3 linked regions of the Medicago truncatula genome follow. The protein of the gene in region 3 interacts with the protein of the main gene of each other region in a pairwise test. Links are inferred from orthologs where the notes say so. Each region holds a gene or a part of one and is shown on either strand. Other genes may lie near its edges.

The links.
Region 1: the proteins of mitogen-activated protein kinase 3 (region 3) and nucleoside diphosphate kinase 2, chloroplastic interact in binary tests that used the Arabidopsis thaliana proteins (3 or more experiments, as listed by UniProt). The link is inferred for Medicago truncatula from reciprocal best matches to the Arabidopsis thaliana genes MPK3 and NDPK2.
Region 2: the proteins of mitogen-activated protein kinase 3 (region 3) and protein MARD1 interact in binary tests that used the Arabidopsis thaliana proteins (3 or more experiments, as listed by UniProt). The link is inferred for Medicago truncatula from reciprocal best matches to the Arabidopsis thaliana genes MPK3 and AT3G63210.

Annotation. Positions count from the first base shown.
Region 1 is NC_053045.1:50,982,272-50,989,682, forward strand, and holds the start of nucleoside diphosphate kinase 2, chloroplastic, read left to right. Parts: upstream 1-4,397; 5' UTR 4,398-4,480; coding exon 4,481-4,717; intron 4,718-4,828; coding exon 4,829-4,885; intron 4,886-4,993; coding exon 4,994-5,080; intron 5,081-6,674; coding exon 6,675-6,755; intron 6,756-6,842; coding exon 6,843-6,955; intron 6,956-7,088; coding exon 7,089-7,138; intron 7,139-7,411. Other genes in the region: GRAS family protein RAD1, read left to right, coding at 1,342-2,847. UniProt on the Arabidopsis thaliana protein: Major role in the synthesis of nucleoside triphosphates other than ATP. The ATP gamma phosphate is transferred to the NDP beta phosphate via a ping-pong mechanism, using a phosphorylated active-site intermediate. May activate MPK3 and MPK6.
Region 2 is NC_053042.1:35,789,000-35,794,867, reverse strand, and holds protein MARD1, read right to left. Parts: upstream 1,811-5,868; 5' UTR 1,495-1,810; coding exon 851-1,494; intron 751-850; coding exon 681-750; 3' UTR 515-680; downstream 1-514. UniProt on the Arabidopsis thaliana protein: May act as an adapter to facilitate the interaction of SnRK1 complex with effector proteins, conferring tissue- and stimulus-type specific differences in the SnRK1 regulation pathway. Involved in seed dormancy control.
Region 3 is NC_053045.1:30,780,329-30,787,597, reverse strand, and holds the start of mitogen-activated protein kinase 3, read left to right. Parts: upstream 1-4,256; 5' UTR 4,257-4,383; coding exon 4,384-4,544; intron 4,545-4,664; coding exon 4,665-4,794; intron 4,795-5,974; coding exon 5,975-6,112; intron 6,113-6,225; coding exon 6,226-6,558; intron 6,559-6,809; coding exon 6,810-6,993; intron 6,994-7,120; coding exon 7,121-7,269. UniProt on the Arabidopsis thaliana protein: Involved in oxidative stress-mediated signaling cascade (such as ozone). Involved in the innate immune MAP kinase signaling cascade (MEKK1, MKK4/MKK5 and MPK3/MPK6) downstream of bacterial flagellin receptor FLS2.

The DNA.
Region 1 (7,411 bases), about 20 Mb from region 3:
ATGTGAAATTCTCTATCTTTCTCAGGATAATCATGTTACTGAACACAACTGAGAATAAGAAGAGAGAATATGAAAAAGGTTTATCCCAAAAGTTGTCATGAAATTGTTATACAAATATTATTTATACTACAGGGCAGGGCTTTTCGTGCCCGTTTATTAGTTATTTTTATTGCATCAATATATATATAAATTACGAATAATAGTTTTTATGAAATTTTGATTAAAATTATTTTGATTTTGATTAAAAGTATATGTTTAGATAATATTTTTATTTTTTTGAGGGATATATTTAGATAAATAGATAATAGATATTTTACGCTTTTATATTATAACAAACTATATTTATCTTTTTCAATGATACTAACAATGTAACAAATACAATATAAATTATTATCTTTTTGAATAACACTAAGAAAATAACATATTAATAGTTAAATTTATTTTAGAGTATTATTAAAAGTAAAAAAGACAACCAAAACCATGTATTTTTTCTTGTATACAATGTAGATGTTGGAATGCCGGGAGAATATATGTGTACAATGTTGGAATCCGGGGGAGTATATGTAGTTTTACAAGGACTGAGAGAGTACATTAGTAGCTATTACGTCACTGGACGAGAAATTACGTATGCCCCAAACCCTGTGTAGACGCGGTTCTTTTGTTGACCATGACAACAGCGACAAAAATAAACGTTATTTAACTGCCAACAAATTATGCTGTACTATTTTATTATCATTGTACCAAGGAAAAAAAATTATAATAATAAATAATACAATTACATCTCTAATTTCCTTTACATCTCTATTTAACACCTCATTTTATCTCTCTGTCTCTCTTTCTGTTACATCAACAATATAATTGAACGTCACTCTATTATCTCTTTCTTTTTCACGATGTCAAAGAGTTTTAGATGTCCACCTATCTTTTCTCTGAGAAATTATGCTTTACCAACTAATTAGTATAACCTCATGCATGCCGTTTGTCAAATTCCAATATCCTGGGAGCGGAAACAATGCGCTCTTGAGATTCCCTTATTCATCAAAATTCAATTTAATTTGCTATGCTATATTTCAACGTCAACAAGAGAAGTTGACAGCATATGTTACGTACTCTAATTTTGTACCAAAATATTATAATAAAGCAAACCTTGTTATTAACGTCAACAAGGTAATTTTTGCTATAAATTGTCCATCATTTGTATGTACGTTCTTTCAGAGCTTTGTTGAATATCTTTAGAAAGCAAACTTATAAAGTGTTATAGACATTAATTGAGAAATTAATATGTCACCTGCACTTTATGCTAGTACCTTCAAATGTGAGGTAGATGAAAATCCATCATTAATGGGTTCTTACTATGCTTCTTTATATCCAAATTTGCCTATTTTAGAAAACAGTGCTACTTCAACATGGATCCTTAATCCATTTTCTGATCATGAAACTGAAACCATTAGGGATCACAAGAAATTGAAAAGATCAACCGTAACTATCCCTATTTGGTTTGCTAATTTCAGCAGCCATAGTAATAGTTTCTTCAATAACATCAACAGCAATAACAACAGTGTGAATAGCATTCCAAGGCTTCATTTCAGAGATCACATAAGAACTTATAAACAAAGATATTTTGCTTCTGAAGCTGTTGAAGAAGCAGCAGAAGATAACTTCAACTACAATAATTGCGAAGCTGAAGAAGATGGTTCATGTGCTGATGGAATGAGACTAGTTCAACTTCTAATTGCATGTGCTGAAGCTGTCGCGTGTCGCGATAAATCACACGCTTCGGTTTTACTATCTGAGCTTAAATCAAATGCTTTGGTGTTTGGTTCTTCGTTTCAAAGAGTTGCTTCTTGTTTTGTTCAAGGACTCACAGAGAGACTAACTCTGATTCAACCAATTGGTAATAACTCTGCTGGATCAGATACAAAATCAATGATGAACATAATGGATGCTGCATCAGAAGAAATGGAAGAAGCATTCAAGTTGGTTTATGAAAATTGTCCACATATTCAATTTGGACATTTTGTGGCTAATTCCATAATATTGGAAGCCTTTGAGGGTGAGAGTTTTCTTCATGTGGTTGATCTTGGCATGAGCCTTGGTCTTCCACATGGACACCAATGGCGAGGACTAATTCAAAGTCTCGCGGATCGATCCAGCCACCGTGTTCGGAGGCTTAGGATCACAGCGATTGGTCTATGCATTGCTAGAATCCAAGTCATTGGTGAAGAACTCTCAATTTACGCGAAAAACTTGGGGATTCATTTGGAATTCTCAATTGTTGAGAAGAATTTGGAGAATTTGAAACCTAAGGACATAAAAGTGAATGAAAAAGAGGTCCTTGTGGTTAACAGCATTCTTCAATTGCATTGTGTTGTTAAAGAGAGTCGTGGCGCTTTGAATGCGGTTTTACAAATGATACACGGTCTTTCACCGAAAGTGTTGGTTATGGCTGAGCAAGATTCTGGTCATAATGGACCTTTTTTCCTTGGAAGGTTTATGGAATCATTGCATTATTATTCTGCTATTTTTGACTCATTGGATGCTATGCTGCCAAAGTATGACACTAAGAGGGCAAAAATGGAACAGTTTTATTTTGCTGAGGAGATAAAGAACATTGTGAGCTGTGAAGGACCATTGAGGATGGAGAGGCATGAGAAAGTTGATCAGTGGAGGAGGAGAATGAGTAGGGCTGGATTTCAAGGTTCACCTATTAAGATGGTGGTTCAAGCTAAGCAGTGGCTTGTGAAGAATAATGTTTGTGATGGATATACTGTTGTGGAAGAGAAAGGGTGTTTGGTTCTTGGATGGAAATCAAAGCCTATTGTTGCAGTTTCTTGCTGGAAATGCTGAATGACCTCTTTTTAGTTCTGTCAATAAATAACAGTTCTGTGAGAAGCTGTTATATGTGTTTGAATAATTTGTTTTTGTGTGCATGTTGTGAATTTAAGACCCTATATTAGTAGCTTGTGAAAGTACTGAAATATTTAGGGCGAGAATAAAACTTTTGATGTAATTCTGTGTGTGGTGTGGCTGCTTGAGATGGAGCAGAAATAAAGTGATGACTAATTATTGTTGTGTGCATAACATGTGTAGGAGTTTGATGAGATGTAAATCCTACTAACATTTATTTGATTCAATTTTTCAATGAACTTAATAATACTCTCTCCAAAAAATTCCTGTATTTGTTGGTTAATGTTGGCCATTTATTTCATGTAGGTATATGTATATCCAAGCCTATCTTTTAGCACTAAGTTCATTCAATTTTTTTTTTTGTTTGAAGGGAATTTCATTCATATTTGTGTTCTAAAACACAATGTACTAGAAAAAGAGTTCATTATGGATAGCATGGCCTGAGGTGGCCAAGAGTGGAGGGGCTGCAAATGCAGAGTGTGATAGAGGAATGTGGGCATATCCGCAAAATATACCTCAAAGGTGCATTGGTAAAATAAATTTTAGACAATTTTCATATTTGTCATTATATATTATCTTTAAAATAAAATGATAAAATGCCAAATTTAATAATTTAAATATTGATATAATGTTTCCCTAAAAAAGTCTATTGATATAATGTTAAAATGGTAGCATTTATATACAAAACATGTACTCGCTTTGTCGCTCTTATCTCGTTAGTCGTTACTTCTTCCTTCGCCTAAACTAGTCGTATTTCTAAGCTTTGTTTGAGAGTTTGGAGGGGAGGGGAGGGGAGTGTTTTGAGGGATGAGAAATATATATAAAAATGAAGAAATTTTTCACTTTTTTTTTTAAAGAGAACTAATGTTTATGATTAATACATTTTTAATTTTAAAAATATTAGTATAACAACAAATATTGAATTTGAAAAATTCATATAAACACTCCAAATCCCTTCCTCAATGCATTTTTTTTTTCTTCAGTTCTTTAAAATTATAAGAATTATATGTTATGAATAAAAATTAACCCCAATATCTTCTTTTTCATTCCTTTTTATTCAAAACACTCCCCTCCCCTCCAACCTCTAAAAAAAAAAACCGTAAGTTAATCTCAATTCTTTCAATTGATTGAGAAATTTATTTAATAATAAAAAAGAATTTGTAAAGAGAAACTATCATCTATTGACAAGTGGTAAATTCTGTAAATAAAAAAAAAAAAAAGACAAGTGGTAAATTCATGAATTTAGTGTCTAACTTTTTTGAAAAGGATAATAATCAAATCAACTTGATATTAATAATAATTAATTGAAGTAGACAGAAGAATTTGTAATTACATTCTTTCTTTCCTTGTTAAAAAATTACATTATTTTTTTCTAAAAAAAACAATTTTTGTATCATTTTTTTCTCGATAATCTTTTGATTTTTATCATTATATTAAAAAAAAAAAAAAAAAAAACAGTAGTATAGTTTAAAAATTACCAAAGTCGCTTTCTTTCTGACTTGCCACATCCAAATCCAAACTCCAAAGAACATCGTTGTTCCACAGCCGCGACGCAAAGAGAGGAAGAAGAGAAATGGAAGCCATGGGCGTGTTTTGCGGAACCAATAGTATCTATGTCACATCCTCTCAATTACGCACCTCAAACACAAACACAAGAAGCTCTCAATTACGCACCACCCAACACCTTTCTGCATTTCCTTCTAAATCCCATCTTTTTTCATCTTCTACTTCTTCTTCCTATGCCAAAACCATCCGCACTAAAAGCTCCACCAATACCGGCATTTTCCTTCCCCACTTAATTGCTTCTCTCGTATGTTCTCTTTTTCTACTCGCCAATTTGCTCAATTTATTATCACTCTGTGTGTGTAATTCTATATATATATATATATATATATTTTTTTTTTTTTTAATGTTTGTGCAGGAACAAGTTGACCGAACTTATATTATGGTGAAACCCGATGGCGTGCAACGTGGTCTTGTAAGTCTCTTAATTTCATATGTTCTGGTTTCAGACATTAAGGGATGAAACAAAAATTAAAAAATTGAAGTTTAAGGTTATAATTGTTGTTTTGTTGAATTGGTTTAGGTGGGTGAAATTATTTCTAGGTTTGAGAAGAAGGGGTTTAAGTTAATTGGCTTGAAGCTCTTTCAATGCTCTAAAGAATTAGCTGAGGTTTGTCTACTTTCTTCAATACTTGCTTGTTTGTATATCCATGATGTCTTATGCTCAATTTATTTTTCTTGCTGTATATGGGGTTCAATTTGTAAAGGAGAATGACAGGGTTCAATATATTACATTGATATAAATACTATCTATTATTAATATGATGGGCTGCTTAACCTAATTGTGCTTTTCATAATAATAAAAATCATCTATAAGATTATTGACTCTTATTAAATAGAGCAGTAAAATGAGAAGATTGCTTTCTCAATTAGCAAACTTATTGATTACACAGTATACGCTAAATATCTTTTAAGATACTCCAAGATATACCATAGTGATGTATTGTTAACACTCTCCCTCTAAGGTATAGCTTGTTATTGTTAATCTTTAAGTTATCCGGAGAGACACTCTTGTTAGGGTGATGCAGTTGCAAGGGTGTTCAATTGGAGAGGAGGTAAATAGGATTTCAAGTAAAGCCAATCTGCATAAAAGACAAGACCTAAATAAAATCAATCTGCGTAACAAGATGGAGTAGAGCCAACACGCTCTAAGATAGGTATAAAGTAGTCGATCTGTGGTGAGAAGGGGATTGGAACAGAGTTAATTAAACAGCTTTAAAACTAGCCGGAGCAGAGCAAAAAGAGATCAAACATGAATGTCAGGGTCTGGTTCCATAAACTTGATAGTACAAGAAAGTCTCTTCAAGATGGATACCATGGCCTAATTATGGGTTTTAGGTAGGGAAGGACAAAAAGAGAGACAGGAGACCTGTAGTAATCTATTAATTTGGTATGATGTATGATGCAAAATATTAACTCAATGTCCTATTAACCCTAATTAAATGAAGAAAAGCACTAAGAGTATTGCTTTCTCAACTAGAATCCATGACATATTGTGAAGTTCATTGAAGGTATTCTCTGTATTTTAGAACTATTCTGAATATGTTTCCATAAAAGTATTGAGTATAGTTGCATGAAATGTCACAATATCAGGTGCTTGAGTAACTAATTCCAACCATCCAGTTACAAAATCCAATTGTATCCATATTTTCATGGTTGCTTACTACTCCCTCCGGTCCTTTATACAAGAAACAAAAAACATAAAACATCAACACCAAGAAATTACATTGAAAATAGTCATCTTCATTTAATACACTTCTACATTTAAAATAATTCTATGAATACCCTTAAATTAATTACTCTTTATTCCATCAACTTACTTACTTTTAATATTCTCTCTCATAATCAATAAGGGCACAAATGAAATTTAGCTTCAAACATATTTGAAACTTGATCAATCTTCTTATAAAAAGGACCAAAAAAATTCTCACTTTTGTTTCTAATAAAAAGGACCGGAGGTAGTATTTTTTTTGGTGGTGGCCGGGGTTTGAACCTCAGACCTTGCATATATTATGCATTGTCCATACCAACTGAGTTAAGCTCACGAGGACCATGGTTGCTTACTATACCAATATGATATAGAGTATAGACCTACATCTTATGTTTGCAATAATGTTGGTTCAGTTTGTGATGTTTGTCTTATGTTCAACTGTTAATTTGCTATTTACACATGGATGGCTTATTGTGACTGTTTATGGTTTCAGGAGCATTACAAGGACCTAAATCAAAGGTCTTTCTTCCCTAAGCTGAGTGAATATATTACTTCGGGCCCCGTTGTGTCTATGGTATAACTCTTTCCACTAGTATCCCATTTTCAATGAGGGTTTCACAGTATACCTGTTGAATGTACTTTCTGGTTTTATGTTTGCAAGGCTTGGGAGGGTGTTGGAGTAGTGCCATCAGCACGTAAGCTTATAGGAGCAACAAATCCTCTGCAAGCAGAACCAGGCACAATAAGAGGAGACTTTGCTGTTGAAACAGGAAGGTAAGGACTTTTCACATCTGATTTGTGAATTTTGTGAGCCTTGGTCAAGAATCAAAATAAGATTCATAGGGTGTGTTTTTCTGGTTGATTTGAGGATGTGGACTGACAAGATCTTATGATGAACTTTTGGCAGGAATGTTATCCATGGCAGTGACAGCCCTGAAAATGGCGAGCGTGAAATAGGTAAGGCCTCTTATAGTATCAGGATTCAGTTTAACCCAATAAATGCAACAAAAAGGATTGTGGATTGCAAAAGAGAATATCATTGTGTGCCGTTAATTTATATATTAGCAGGTTTAAAGAGTATTACAAATACAAAATAAAGCTTTAAATTTCATTTGTTGTTTTAAGCATTTGTCCTGGAAACAACCTTGGTGCAAGGTAAAGTTGTTGTCACGTGACTGAAAGGTCACGGGTTCAAGTCCAGGAAACAACCTCTTGTGTAAGAAACACGGT
Region 2 (5,868 bases), on a different chromosome or scaffold from region 3:
AATTTAATCATTTTGCTAATTAGGTTGATCATGTTAAACAAGCCATTGCATTCTTTTCCTTTTCGGCACATAATTATAATTATTGGTGACTTGATGTGGATATAATTGTTTGTAATTTAATATTAGAATGGCTTTAAAACCGAACTTTGAAATTTTGGGATTCTCACAGTTGTTAATACGTACAAAGTGTCTCATTGATGCCTAATACTCAATTATTTGGATCATGGAGTAATAGGTAAGGAAAAGGACCTATAACAAATGTATATTTCTCTGTCAATGTCAGTTTTTTTCTATGTATTATAATGGTTTGCTCGATTTTTATCTAAGTTGAGGGGCGTGAAAACCATATCATAATAATAGAATACATCATGTACTAGTATTCTATTAATGATTAATTGGAATCTTCTTGAGAGAAATAATTTATTGGTCCCCATGTAATAATTATATGCATTATCATGGCCAACAACTAAGATAAGAAGGAAAATTAAAGGCACTATTTTCAATCATGGCATCATTATCATGAGAAGCAATCTATTCAATACTGCTCACATTTCTTGAAATGAACTCTACAATACATCCTCTTTTATATCTATTTGCAAGGTTGAAGGAGGAAAAATCACACAAATAGAACTTAAAAAGGTAAAAAAAAACATAATAAGTAAATTGTGAGCATTAAATTATTAATTTTCTGCTTCATCTAACACCATCTCTTTGTGTCTACATTCTTGACTGCAAAAAGCTTTTTCTCCTCTGCAAAAAAAAAAAAAAAAAAAAAAACACTATCAAGTTAATGTTCCTTAATAAGTTTTGCTCAAGTAACTAAATAAATATTTAAATGTACTAAACTTACCTGTAAATGAAGATGTCTTTTGTATGCTCAAGATGATTTTTGCAAGTGTAACAAAAGCTAAGAAAATTCATTGAAAAAGAGTGAGGACTATTGGTGACAGAACAGTAACTTTCTTCCACAACACAATTATCAAATATATGAGTTGTTTTTGGGTTTGGTCCATGAGATATCACACATGTGTATTCTTCAGAAAGTTCCATCTCACTCAAACTAAGAACACTTTTTTGTGACTCAAACATGGAAGGTGGTAGAGGAGGGATTTTCACTCTAAGCTCAGTTCCAAAGAGAACTTTTCTATTGCTTAGTTTATGATCAGAATTTTGATGAGAAGGTTCATCTTTTAGAACACCAATAAGACCAAGACCAATGGTTTTTGAAGCTACTTTGTCCCTAGTGCTACAAACTTTGTTGCTATTGGTAATTGAGAAAGGATTTTCAAATGAGGTTAATGCTTTTGTGTCAAGAGTTGATGTTGGACTTATCAAAGCTTCAGTTCCAGTGAGAGATTTTTTGGAAGTGAAATGAAAATCTCTATAGTTTGGTGAACCAAATAGAGATGGGAGTGTAGTGAAATTTTGATTTGGTGATTGTTCACCCATCAAAGTTTGTTTGGTGACTGCTCTTGATCTGTTTCTGAGTAGCATAAGTGCTTATTTTAAGCACTTCTAAGATGAAAAAGAAAATATTAAAATTTAAAAGTGTTTCACTTGAGGACTCTAAAGAAAAAGAATCCTAAGTGTATTGTGTTTGGTCTTGTGAATTTTCTTCAAGAAGAAAAAGCATGATTTAGTAGTGGTACATGTACTACAATATTTGGTTTATTTTTCAGCCTTAACTTTGAAACTTTGTGAAGAAAAAAACAGAAAGAAAGAGAAGAAAAAGAAGGAAGCTTTTGACATGGAATAGAGAGAGATATGACTGAATAATATATATGGCTTTTAAAGGAAGAAAAAGCAAAAGATGTTGTGTGCATGAAAATCAAACGTTAATAATACTTCAAAGTTTTGCTTTCTTTTTTAATTGAAAAAAAAGTTCTATTCTATTTTTCTCCATCTAAATCTCAATTCAACTGTGTCACTAAACATATTGATTTTTATTTTTTGTCTTTTTCTAATCATTTATTTATTGTATATATATATATATCTGTGTGTGTGTGATTTGATCCAAGGTTTTTTGTCCTGACTATAGTAATCTGGTGTGCCTTCGAACCATGGAATAGGAAAAAAAATTAAGGGAGATCTCACCTTTATGAATTGATTGAGAAAGTTAAGCATTGACATATTAAAAAAAAATTATAGTGTAAGTTTTATTTGCAATAGAACATGTAATAGATATAGAATAATATTGGACAATTGAAACATTTTTTTGTCATTTACAATATTTGGTAGACAATATACAACCCAAATAAAATAATGTGAGGTTTGTTTTTGATAACAGAATCTTGCCCAAAGTATTAAGAGGGCAGAAAGTACTAGTTAAAATTTTAAAACTTTATGATTGATATTCATAAGAGTAATATATAATTTTTTCCTACTCTTGAAAAATACATCAATTTACTTATATTAAAAATTGTATCACAGTAGCAAAATAAAAAACAACAATTGTATCACTCATAAAAAATGCACAAATTAATTATGTTTTTTTTAACAAATATATATATATATATATATATATATATATATATATATATATATATATATATATAACCCAAGAGAATTCTCAAGCACAAGGTGTGCTAAAGAAAGCTCAACAGTACACAGTTACAAAGTCCGATGTGAAGTAATACAAAAACAGATTAGCCATGCCCTAACAAACAAAAGGGCTCGACCACCACATATGAAAATTAGCCCAAATAGAAATATTAATAGTCTTCATCCACCAAAAGGAATGTAATTTGACTTTCTCTACCAATTGGTGGATGGTGCTCTCCATATTTTTGAAGATCCGACTATTTCTTTCATTCCACATGACCCACACACAATACAACCAAATAAGCTACACAAAAGATCGACGGGTACGCGAGCCACCTGCGCAATAAACAAACTGATAAAAACGATCTGACACTTGTAATGGCTCGGCTAAAGCTATACCCATCCAGGACCGAATTTTGCCCCACAAAGTTGCAAAAAAAGACAAGAGAGAAACAAATGTTGAGTAGTCTCGATGTCGCCGCAACCCACCACACAATGCCGATTAGCGTGAGGAAGAACACCGCGCACGAGCAAATTATCCTTCGTCGTCAATCTATTCTGAAGGAGCCGCCACGCAAGAATAGAGAGACCTTCAAGGAAACTTGTTTGTGCATAATTAAATCCGATAAAACTTATGTTGTCTAAACCTACTGACTGGTAAGCAATTGGTAAACACCTCTAACTGAGTAACCACTCGACGGATCAAGCCTCCAAACCCACTGATCTGTAGAATTTTGCTGCAAAGAAATGTCAGATAGTAAAATCCTACACTGCCCTAACAACTCATCCTCCCAAACCCACAACCGCTTGCGCCACTGTCAAGCCTCCCCGCCTTCCTCCCACCCTAACGAAAACATCTCCGCCATCGAAACAGACTTATTCACAGCTAAATCGAAAAACGTCTAAACTAGACACACAAAGGCGCATCACCCACCCACGGATCTAACCAAACCAACGTATACAACATTGATATGCACAAATTAATTACTAATTTCATATTTTTCTTTTCGATAAGGTAGAATTGTTTTGATTGCAAAAATTGTATTTTCAATAATATTAGCGGGGTAGTGGTGGTAATAGTTAGGGATGGTAATGAGTACCAATGGATAGAGTACTATTGTACCCTTTTTCATACCCGTGTTTGTAAAAAAATGCATGTATATGAGCCTGTACCATCGTGGTAACAATTTTAGTGTCATTCCCCATACCTTGTGGGCACCTAAGTGTTCATACCTGTACCCATACCCACACTTTAATTATAAAAAGACAATAAAAAACATCACAATTGAAATAAAACTATGATCCAATTTTTTTTAATGCAACTAATAAAAGTAGAAATCGTAGTATTTAACCAAATAAAAAAACATCCAAAATATTTCTCAAAAATTAAAATAAAATCATTCAAAATACATATAAAAATGTGCATGTTAAAATAAACATCAAATTGATTTAAATCATAAATTTGTAGCTCGTGAGCTTATGATGGTAATGATGAAATGATTACTGTATTAGTTTTTAGGTTTAGGTTTATCCTTAAATAACTAAATAAATTAAATAATTGTACACAAAAAATAAATAAAATATGGCTTAATTGCATATTTGATCCCTTATGTTTATTTTAGTTTTCAAGTTGGTCCCTATGTTTTAAAAGTTTCAAGTTGGTCCCTTACGTTTTAAAAGTTTCAAGTTGGTCCAAAACGTTACTCACGTTGGAATAAGCCAGTCCCTTCAATCACTTAACATTTAAATATTCGGGTTGACAATATGGGTGATGGAATGGACTAACTTATTTCAATGTGAGTAACGTTTTGGACCAACTTGAAACTTTTAAAACGTAAGGGACCAACTTTAAAACTAAAATAAACATAAGGGATCAAACATGCAATTAAACCATAACATATTTATTATATTATATAAATATGTATATGCCGGTTGTGAAGTTGGGTAGTATAGTACCTTTATCCGCATCCATACCCAACTGAATTTGCGGGTATTATCCGGACCCAAGTCCATACCCATAAAAACGGGATTTTACCCTGCTCTTTGCGAGTATTTTTTGCGGGTGCTCATCGGACCTGGGTCCAATTACCATCTACAGTAATAGTACAAATTATAAGACAATTTTCATGATCATTTGTTGGTTCACATGGTTGTGAAGAAACAAAACTATTATTGAAAGAGTTTTTTTTTTTTTTTTTTTTTACAACCAAATAACTCTGTCTCAATGATCCAAAATTTATTAGAAAAACAGACTTGTATTCGAACCAACCACCTCATCGTGATCTTTAAATGAAGGGGATAATATGCATAGGTTGAAAAAAAAGATGTTTTAACAAAATCCAAATTAAATATAAAATTTTAAGCACCAAAATCATAATTTTTTTTTTCATCCATAACTACCCATAAAATATTTCACAAACTCATTAAAGAATTTTTCATATTTTTTTATCTTCCTAAAATAGGCAAATCACTTAAAAATTTAAGACTTTACCTATTTTGAAAAATAAAAACTATAAAAACATTATCAATTAAAGAAGAGTAAGTTAACGACTATAATCAATGTCTTGAAAACTTTTATATGATAACTTTGTATGAAAACATATGTAATCAATGTCTTGAAAATCGAAATGTTGACTTTTTTATAAATTAGTTTCTTTTTTTTAGAATATTTAAAGAGTGCCTTAAAGGCACTCTTTAACTAGATCCATTGGCCCATTAAAGAATCCAAAATGTGTTGAAGATTAAATACCTTTTCCAATGGGTAGTACTACCACACCTTCGACTTTGACTGCAGTCCTACCATTATTTTTATACCAAATGAAATCCTTTCCAAACGTCTATCTCTCTAATGTGGGACTTGAATGTATCTAATTCTTTCACGGACCAGTTTAGCTTAAGCATCCTGGTAGTAACAATAAGAAGGAAGGATCACTATCTTATGCATTAAGACTCTCTTATGTAGTGTTTGTTTCCTAAAAGTTCTATTCAATTTAAGTAACGAGATTATTAACATTTATGAGAATAGAAGTCAGTTTTCAACTCAAAATAACACTCGTTGATCGAGTGGTAGCTACTGATTAGAGGGTGATAAGAAATCGAAATTGATTAAGTATTTATTTTTTTGAATATTCTGAATATACATGCTGAAAATAATTTGGCAATGTCCCTTTGCTCACCCCAGCGAAAAGGCTAGTTGTCGTGAATCCCTCAAGTTTTAGTATTTTGGCAAGGTGTGTCATTATTGCCCGTTGAAACCGTAAATGTTGCGACGCTTGCATATTCAAAACCAGTGTTTATTTATGAATTGTTAAAATTTGGTTGGTTATG
Region 3 (7,269 bases):
GAAAAAAAAAATGTTAGACAACAACATACTGCACACACTCATCTACTCCTCCTCCCAAGTCAAAAGCCTACGCCACCATTTCCACCCATCTTCCCCGTCCCCCATCTCTGCCAGTGAAACAAAATGATTCTTCAATAATGAATATAGCCACCTAAACCTATCACTCATCACCCCTCCATCCAATCACTAGACTGACCAAAAGAAAGTCTTGGTCCCGTGACCCACAACCCACACCAAATTCTCGTCAAACCAACTCCCCACACCCAAACCTACACCTCTACGTATGGTCATGATATCGTGCCATCAATGTGAACCCATACGACCACCCTTTTTCACCCTCACCATCCTCTACCCCATACTTCGCTACCAACACCTTAAACCTTATACTCGATTGTTCCGCCTGCATTCTCCAACACCACTTTTATAACCATGGTAAATTAATTTGACTAATCCCCCTAACCCCAACCCTCCTTTCTCTTTATCCGAACAAATATTATCCCAGTTGATCCATGGTGATTTCCTAGACACCCCCCCACCAAAAAAAAAAAAAAAAAATCAAAATATAGATTTAATAGAGGAAATTATATATACATATGATGAAGTCTTCAAGAAGGAAAGAAAATAGATTAGGAGTGATGACAAGACATATTTAAGAAGAAACAAACGATTATCCAATAGCAAATTAGTTTAGTTAATGCAATTTAAATGGGTGATTGATTCAGTTCATTATGTGGTTAATGAGTTATTATATAGTTTAGTTTAGTTTTTTTTATAACCACAAATAAGTCCATGATTACCGACATTCAAATATTTGGTTCATTCAATTTATTACTGTTTAATGAATTACAATTATCAACTAAACATATTTAAAATGCTTTAAGCATGATCCAAGAACACTTAGATGAGAAGACAATATCTCTATGTTGGTATGAACAATGCATAATGTATGCAAGGTTTACTTTCTATCTGCATTTCATAAGGCTCGAGGGAGCGCACGGAAAATACTTTTTTTTTTTGAGAGGACGCACGGAAAATACATGTTTTATGCAAAAAAAAAAAAAGTCTTAATCATGAAATGAAAAAATGAACCACGTTGTGTTTTAAAAAAAAAAAAAAATCAATTTTCAAATAAATAAATATAATTGAACTACATCAAGATATTTGTTAATCACATAATGAACTGAATTAACTATGTTATTAAACCGTGTAACCATATAATAAATAAACAAACAATGTTAAGTGTCAAAAATCACCGTTAAAAAGTGATACCATTAACCAAGTACTATACATAATTAATCATTTATTTGTGCCAAAAATAGTTCAACTAACATTTCTGTTTTGAAATATTCAAGGTTCATCTAGTTTGAAAAAAAAAAAAAAAAAAAAAGAGTCAAAAATATTGTTTGAGAAAGTCAATAATGTTTAATAGTTTTCGAGGTAGTTATAGTATCAAGTCATCGATAGAAATAGAATGAGAAAAGAAACCCCCATTACCACTTACCATTGTCATGATATATTTATTATTATTATTCATTCTATTATCTGTAGAGAAGGGGCGCCCCGTGCTTCGTAGGTGAAGTTATTCTATTGCTGTTATTATTTGACTTTGTTATTCCATGTGGCTTGTGCATTTGTTCCTCACGTGCACATTATTGAAATGGAAAACACCAGATATTTTGTTTGCAAATATGAGACTAGGTCGTGTCTGAAATTTAATTTCTGTACCAAATGTTGACTCCTGAATAATAGGAATACATACACCTGCTATGAAGTTTACTCAATTATGAGACATGTTTAGGTCATTTTTAAGTTAATGTTCTATAAATTGAATCAAAACTAGCCGTCTAATTGGTTGAATTGTGGATCGATATTATTTATGATTAAGTTATTTGAGCGGTTTAATTGTGCTTTCTTATGTTTGAGCAAGTTAATAAAGTAGCTAAACTATGATATAGATATCTTGTCGATTGAGCGTCTGATTTGATTTTGGTTCTTAGGAGAAGGAGATTATGATAATTTAAAGCAAGTAAAATCTAATTAAAAGTTGTCCGAACCAAGATTTAATGTTTTCTCAAATGATTTGTCATATTCTAAATTGATTAATCACTTTGAGTTCAATCCATAGGAAATCCAATGGTTATGTAGTAACCCTAATCTTAATTATAAAGAATGACTCCCACAAAAAAAAACTTCATTTTTTGTAGTCAAGCTTCACCATAATTTTAAAATAATGAGTATGGTGTCAAATTGTGGTTACTATGCAAGTAAAGCTTGCAAAAGTTTTAAATTTTATATAGAAATATCATGCATAAAACAATTGAAAGATGACAAGATTTGAAATGTTTAACTATTCAATGAAACTTATCAAGGATATGTATATGAAGGAGAGAACTATTCATGAAGCATAAAATACAAACAAATAACTCGTTGAATTTGAAATGATCAGAAATGTGAATGACTTTGACGAAAGATTCTTGGACAAAAATTTGAGTGCACATTGATAAAAAAGAAATTTAAATGACTAAACAAAGGGTATAAAGACAATAGCTTGAAACGGAAGACGAGGAACGAGAAAGAAAGCAACAAATAATAAAACAAGAACAACAACATGAATGATTGAAAAGAAATTTCAATAAAGCGTAGAATTACAAGAATCCACACATCAGATTTGTGTCATGTTAACAAGAAAATATTAACGACTGTTGTTTAACCATATAAAGTAATAATTTTTATATTGAAAATTATGTAATTATGACTTTTACATGTGTTTGACTTGTATTTTTAAGATAAAATTATTTCTCGTTGTGGGTTCGTTAAATATTACTCTTAGCACACTTGTTAGCAAGACAAAAAAAATTACATATCAAGAAACACGTTCATACACATTTATTATAAAAAAATATTTTGGTTTTAGTTTTGGTTTTGGATTGAGAAAAGATAGGTGGACACCCCGTCCATCCAACCTACAAAGTATTATTACTTAACAAGTTTTTTTATATAGGTATTAGTACAACTTTATGCTACAAATTTGGCAGAGAATCAAGCCAGTAAATAAGTAGAGGATCAATAGGGTAATACATATTCTCACGCATATTGTTGGTTTTTGGAGCAATGTAGTGATAGAGAAGGATTATAGTCGAGAATATAAGAATGAAATCATTTTGTAATATGAGAACATTTTTATTTTTCCTTGCTTAGATTATCAAGAAAACCTAATCCACGGTGCCTTCAAACATTATGACGATCAAGTAAGTTAAAGGGCATGAGTGTGAGGTTTTAGGTTTTAGAAAATGTGTATTTGAATCTAGATTGACAACTTGGATGACAGTTGAGGGATGGTGTACCTGTAAACATTACGACAATCAAGTAAGTCAAATGTCATGAATGTAATGTTTTAGTGTTTAAAAAATGTGTACTTAAACATGTTTCATAAGTCAGGTTTTATAGGAAAAAGATAAAGGATTTTTTTTGGATAAAAACCCTAATTGAACAACTTTAGACATATCATTGTGTGATATTCATCATATTGTCCTACAAGGATTCCGAAATCTGGTTTTTGCGTATCTTTAAGCCTGTCCAAAACATAGTCTAAGATGAGTTAACATTGTTAGAGTGACCAATTACTACAAAGCAATATTCCTAACCATTTGCATAAAACGTTCCAAATGTTAATGTCATTTGTAAAAACATTAATTTAAACTAAACTCCAATTAAATATACATGTGTGTTTATTCCACATGAAAAACAACTCCTTATCTTAATCCTATATAATACATAAAAAACAGCTGTCAGATACAAATTGCCTATATATGTGCCAGAAAACAGTTGATCAATTATTTGAGTCATTAATCATTCTTAACTAAAATTGTAGTGATACTAATATATACGTATATGATCTCTTTTTAATGACGGAAAGAGGGGCCTAATTAGTCCATTTTAGGAGAGATTTTAATTTTATATCAAGGTGTAGGTATCAGTCAATTTTTGTATATAATATTTAAATCCCTCTGACTTATTTTATTTCTAATGATATTATATTTTAGTCATTCATTAAGATAGTAGTTGAAATAATTGAACAAGCTAAGACCGTAGATTAGAGGCGGCTACAATCACAACCGTCCGATCAAAAATACAAACGCGTCGTTCTTGTAACGCGCGTGTGTTAATCTCCTTCGCGCGTTTTCGCACCTTCTTCGTAGCATCTTCTCCGAAAATAGATTCTATAAAATTCAACGTGCTTCACAAGCCGAGTCAATAACTCACTATAAACATTATTTAAATTGAAATTCACCGCCTTCTTCTTCAACACACTACCATCGCCGACGCTTTCTAGAGAGAGAAAAAAATTCTTGAGAGTGAAGAAAATCAAATCAAATCAAATCAATGGCCGGAGTTAACCAAAACGGCGTCGCTGAGTTTCCGGCGGTTCAGACTCACGGCGGACAGTTCGTTCAGTACAACGTGTTCGGTAATCTTTTCGAGGTTACGGCTAAGTATCGTCCTCCGATCATGCCTATTGGTCGTGGTGCTTACGGAATCGTTTGGTATTGCTTCGTATAATCTACTTCTTTTTTGAATCGGTTTTGTTTATGATGGATTTGATTTAACGGTTTTGGAAAGTGAGAAATGAATCTGATTTGTTTTTGTTGATGTGATTTTTGAAGTTCGTTGTTGAATACGGAGACGAATGAGTTGGTTGCTGTGAAGAAGATAGCGAATGCTTTTGATAATCATATGGATGCGAAGCGTACGCTCCGTGAGATTAAGCTTCTTAGGCATTTAGATCATGAAAATGTGAGTAGTTATCTTTAAATTCTTAATTACTAAACTTTATTTGATTAATTAGATAGTTTCATTGAATTGACTTATTCCGGTTTATTCACTGCATAAACATTTTGAGAGTGTTCAGAAGAACTTATCAAAACGGCTTATGACATGTTTATAAACTATCTTTAGCTTATTTATTTTTGTAAGCTATTAACTTCTAAAAATACCAAAAAGCAGTGTAACTTTATTTTATATTTAATTATAAATAGCTAAAATAATCATTTATACATATGATAAACACTTATGTTATAAGCTGCAAATTAAGTTGTTAATCTATATGCTTTGTATGGTATAAATTTTCTAATCTGTGTGAAAAAGGACAATTAATAGTCAATTAAGGTAAAACTATTTGAAATTCTATATGGCTTTTTTTAGCATTGCTGCTACTTTCTGCGAAAGGTTCTTAAGTACCTATCACTATCATTGTTGTTGATAATATCGCGTTGACATTTCAAGTCATACATGAAGGATTGAGGAATACAAGTATTGTACGTAATGATCATGGAAAATTTGGTTCCTATTTTAGGAGTCGTACATTAAATGATTTTTTTTTTTGAAGTAAAAGTGTCGTACATTAAATGTTGAAAAATATGTGTGGTGAGTAGCTACACGTTTGTTGAGATTTAATGGAAACAAGCCATCTCTCTTGACAATGGTGGACCATGATGATTGAGAAAAAACCAAGTCAATAATGGAAAAAGATAATGCCCAAAAGAATAATTATGAAGAGTGTGACACCAATTATTTGTGTAAGGCTGAATTAAGTTCAATATCTAATAATAACTTATTGCTTTTGAAAAATATATGACACAAATTTAGTTAACAGGACTAATAAATCTTAGATAGGCTCTGATATCATCTTAAATTTTGGGTTGGTCCTAACTCAACTCTTACAAAACCGGCCTTTAAAATGGGTATTGCCTTCATTTATAATCACATTTTTTGGTCTTTTCTCACTCAATGCGGGACTCTTAACGGTTATATTTTTTTCCTTTCGAATAATACATAATTGGTTCATGCCTAATTGATTACTTTCATACATTTTAAAGTTTACACTGTAGTTTAAGTCTTAAAGTATCAAATGTGCAAATCTCAATTTGATAAATGTATATTTAGTAATGGTTAAAATGTTTGTTTTTTAAAACAGGTAATTGGTTTAAGAGATGTTATTCCACCACCCTTGCGTAGAGAGTTTAATGATGTTTACATAACCACCGAACTCATGGATACTGATCTTCACCAAATCATTCGCTCTAATCAAAACCTGTCAGATGAACACTGCCAGGTCAGTGTTTTGAATTTGTTGTTTTTAGTATCAAAATCATTGCCTTAACTTTTTTGCGCTGGAATTAATTGAACTACTCGTTTTGCTGATGATTGTATGCCTTGTACTTGCAGTACTTTTTGTATCAGATTCTTCGTGGGCTAAGGTATATACATTCTGCAAACATAATCCATAGAGATTTGAAACCAAGCAACCTGCTGTTAAATGCAAATTGCGACTTGAAGATTATTGATTTTGGTCTTGCGCGACCAACTATGGAAAGTGACTTCATGACAGAATATGTTGTCACGAGATGGTATAGGGCTCCTGAATTGTTGTTGAACTCCTCAGATTACACCTCTGCAATAGATGTCTGGTCTGTTGGTTGCATTTTTATGGAGCTTATGAATAAAAAGCCTCTGTTTCCTGGCAAAGATCATGTGCATCAAATGCGCTTATTGACAGAGGTAAGACTATAGGAATCAGCATAACTAATCATTTTCTTAAAAAATTTGCATTATCTTAAACGACACTTATAATGTGGCGGATGGAGTAAAACATTACACTAAATGTTTTCTCTAGTTGCTACTTACTCATATAAGTTGATATTCATATAAATATTTCATTATTAATGCCTTGAATACAATCAATAGTTTAATCATAAAAGTAGTAATATATCATATATGCTTAATTGCTTACACTTGTTGTTTTTCTACAGCTTCTTGGCACTCCAACTGACGCTGATGTGGGGTTAGTAAAAAATGACGATGCGAGAAGATATATCCGACAACTTCCTCAGTATCCTCGTCAACCTTTGAATAGGGTTTTCCCCCATGTTCATCCCTTAGCCATTGATCTTGTCGATAAAATGTTGACAATTGATCCTACCAGAAGAATTACAGGTAATTTTCTCATCCTTGCATTCATTTATGTCTCTATAGCTAGATAAAGCAGTAATGGGTTCATTTTGAATATAATGTTGAATTACATTGAATAAATTTTCATATCTGCTTGTTTAAATATTGGCAGTTGAAGAAGCACTGGCTCATCCATACCTTGAAAAACTGCATGACGTAGCTGATGAACCTATCTGCATGGAGCCATTCTCATTTGAGTTTGAGCAACAACATTTGGATGAAGAACAAATAAAGGAGATGATCTACAGGGAAGCATTAGCA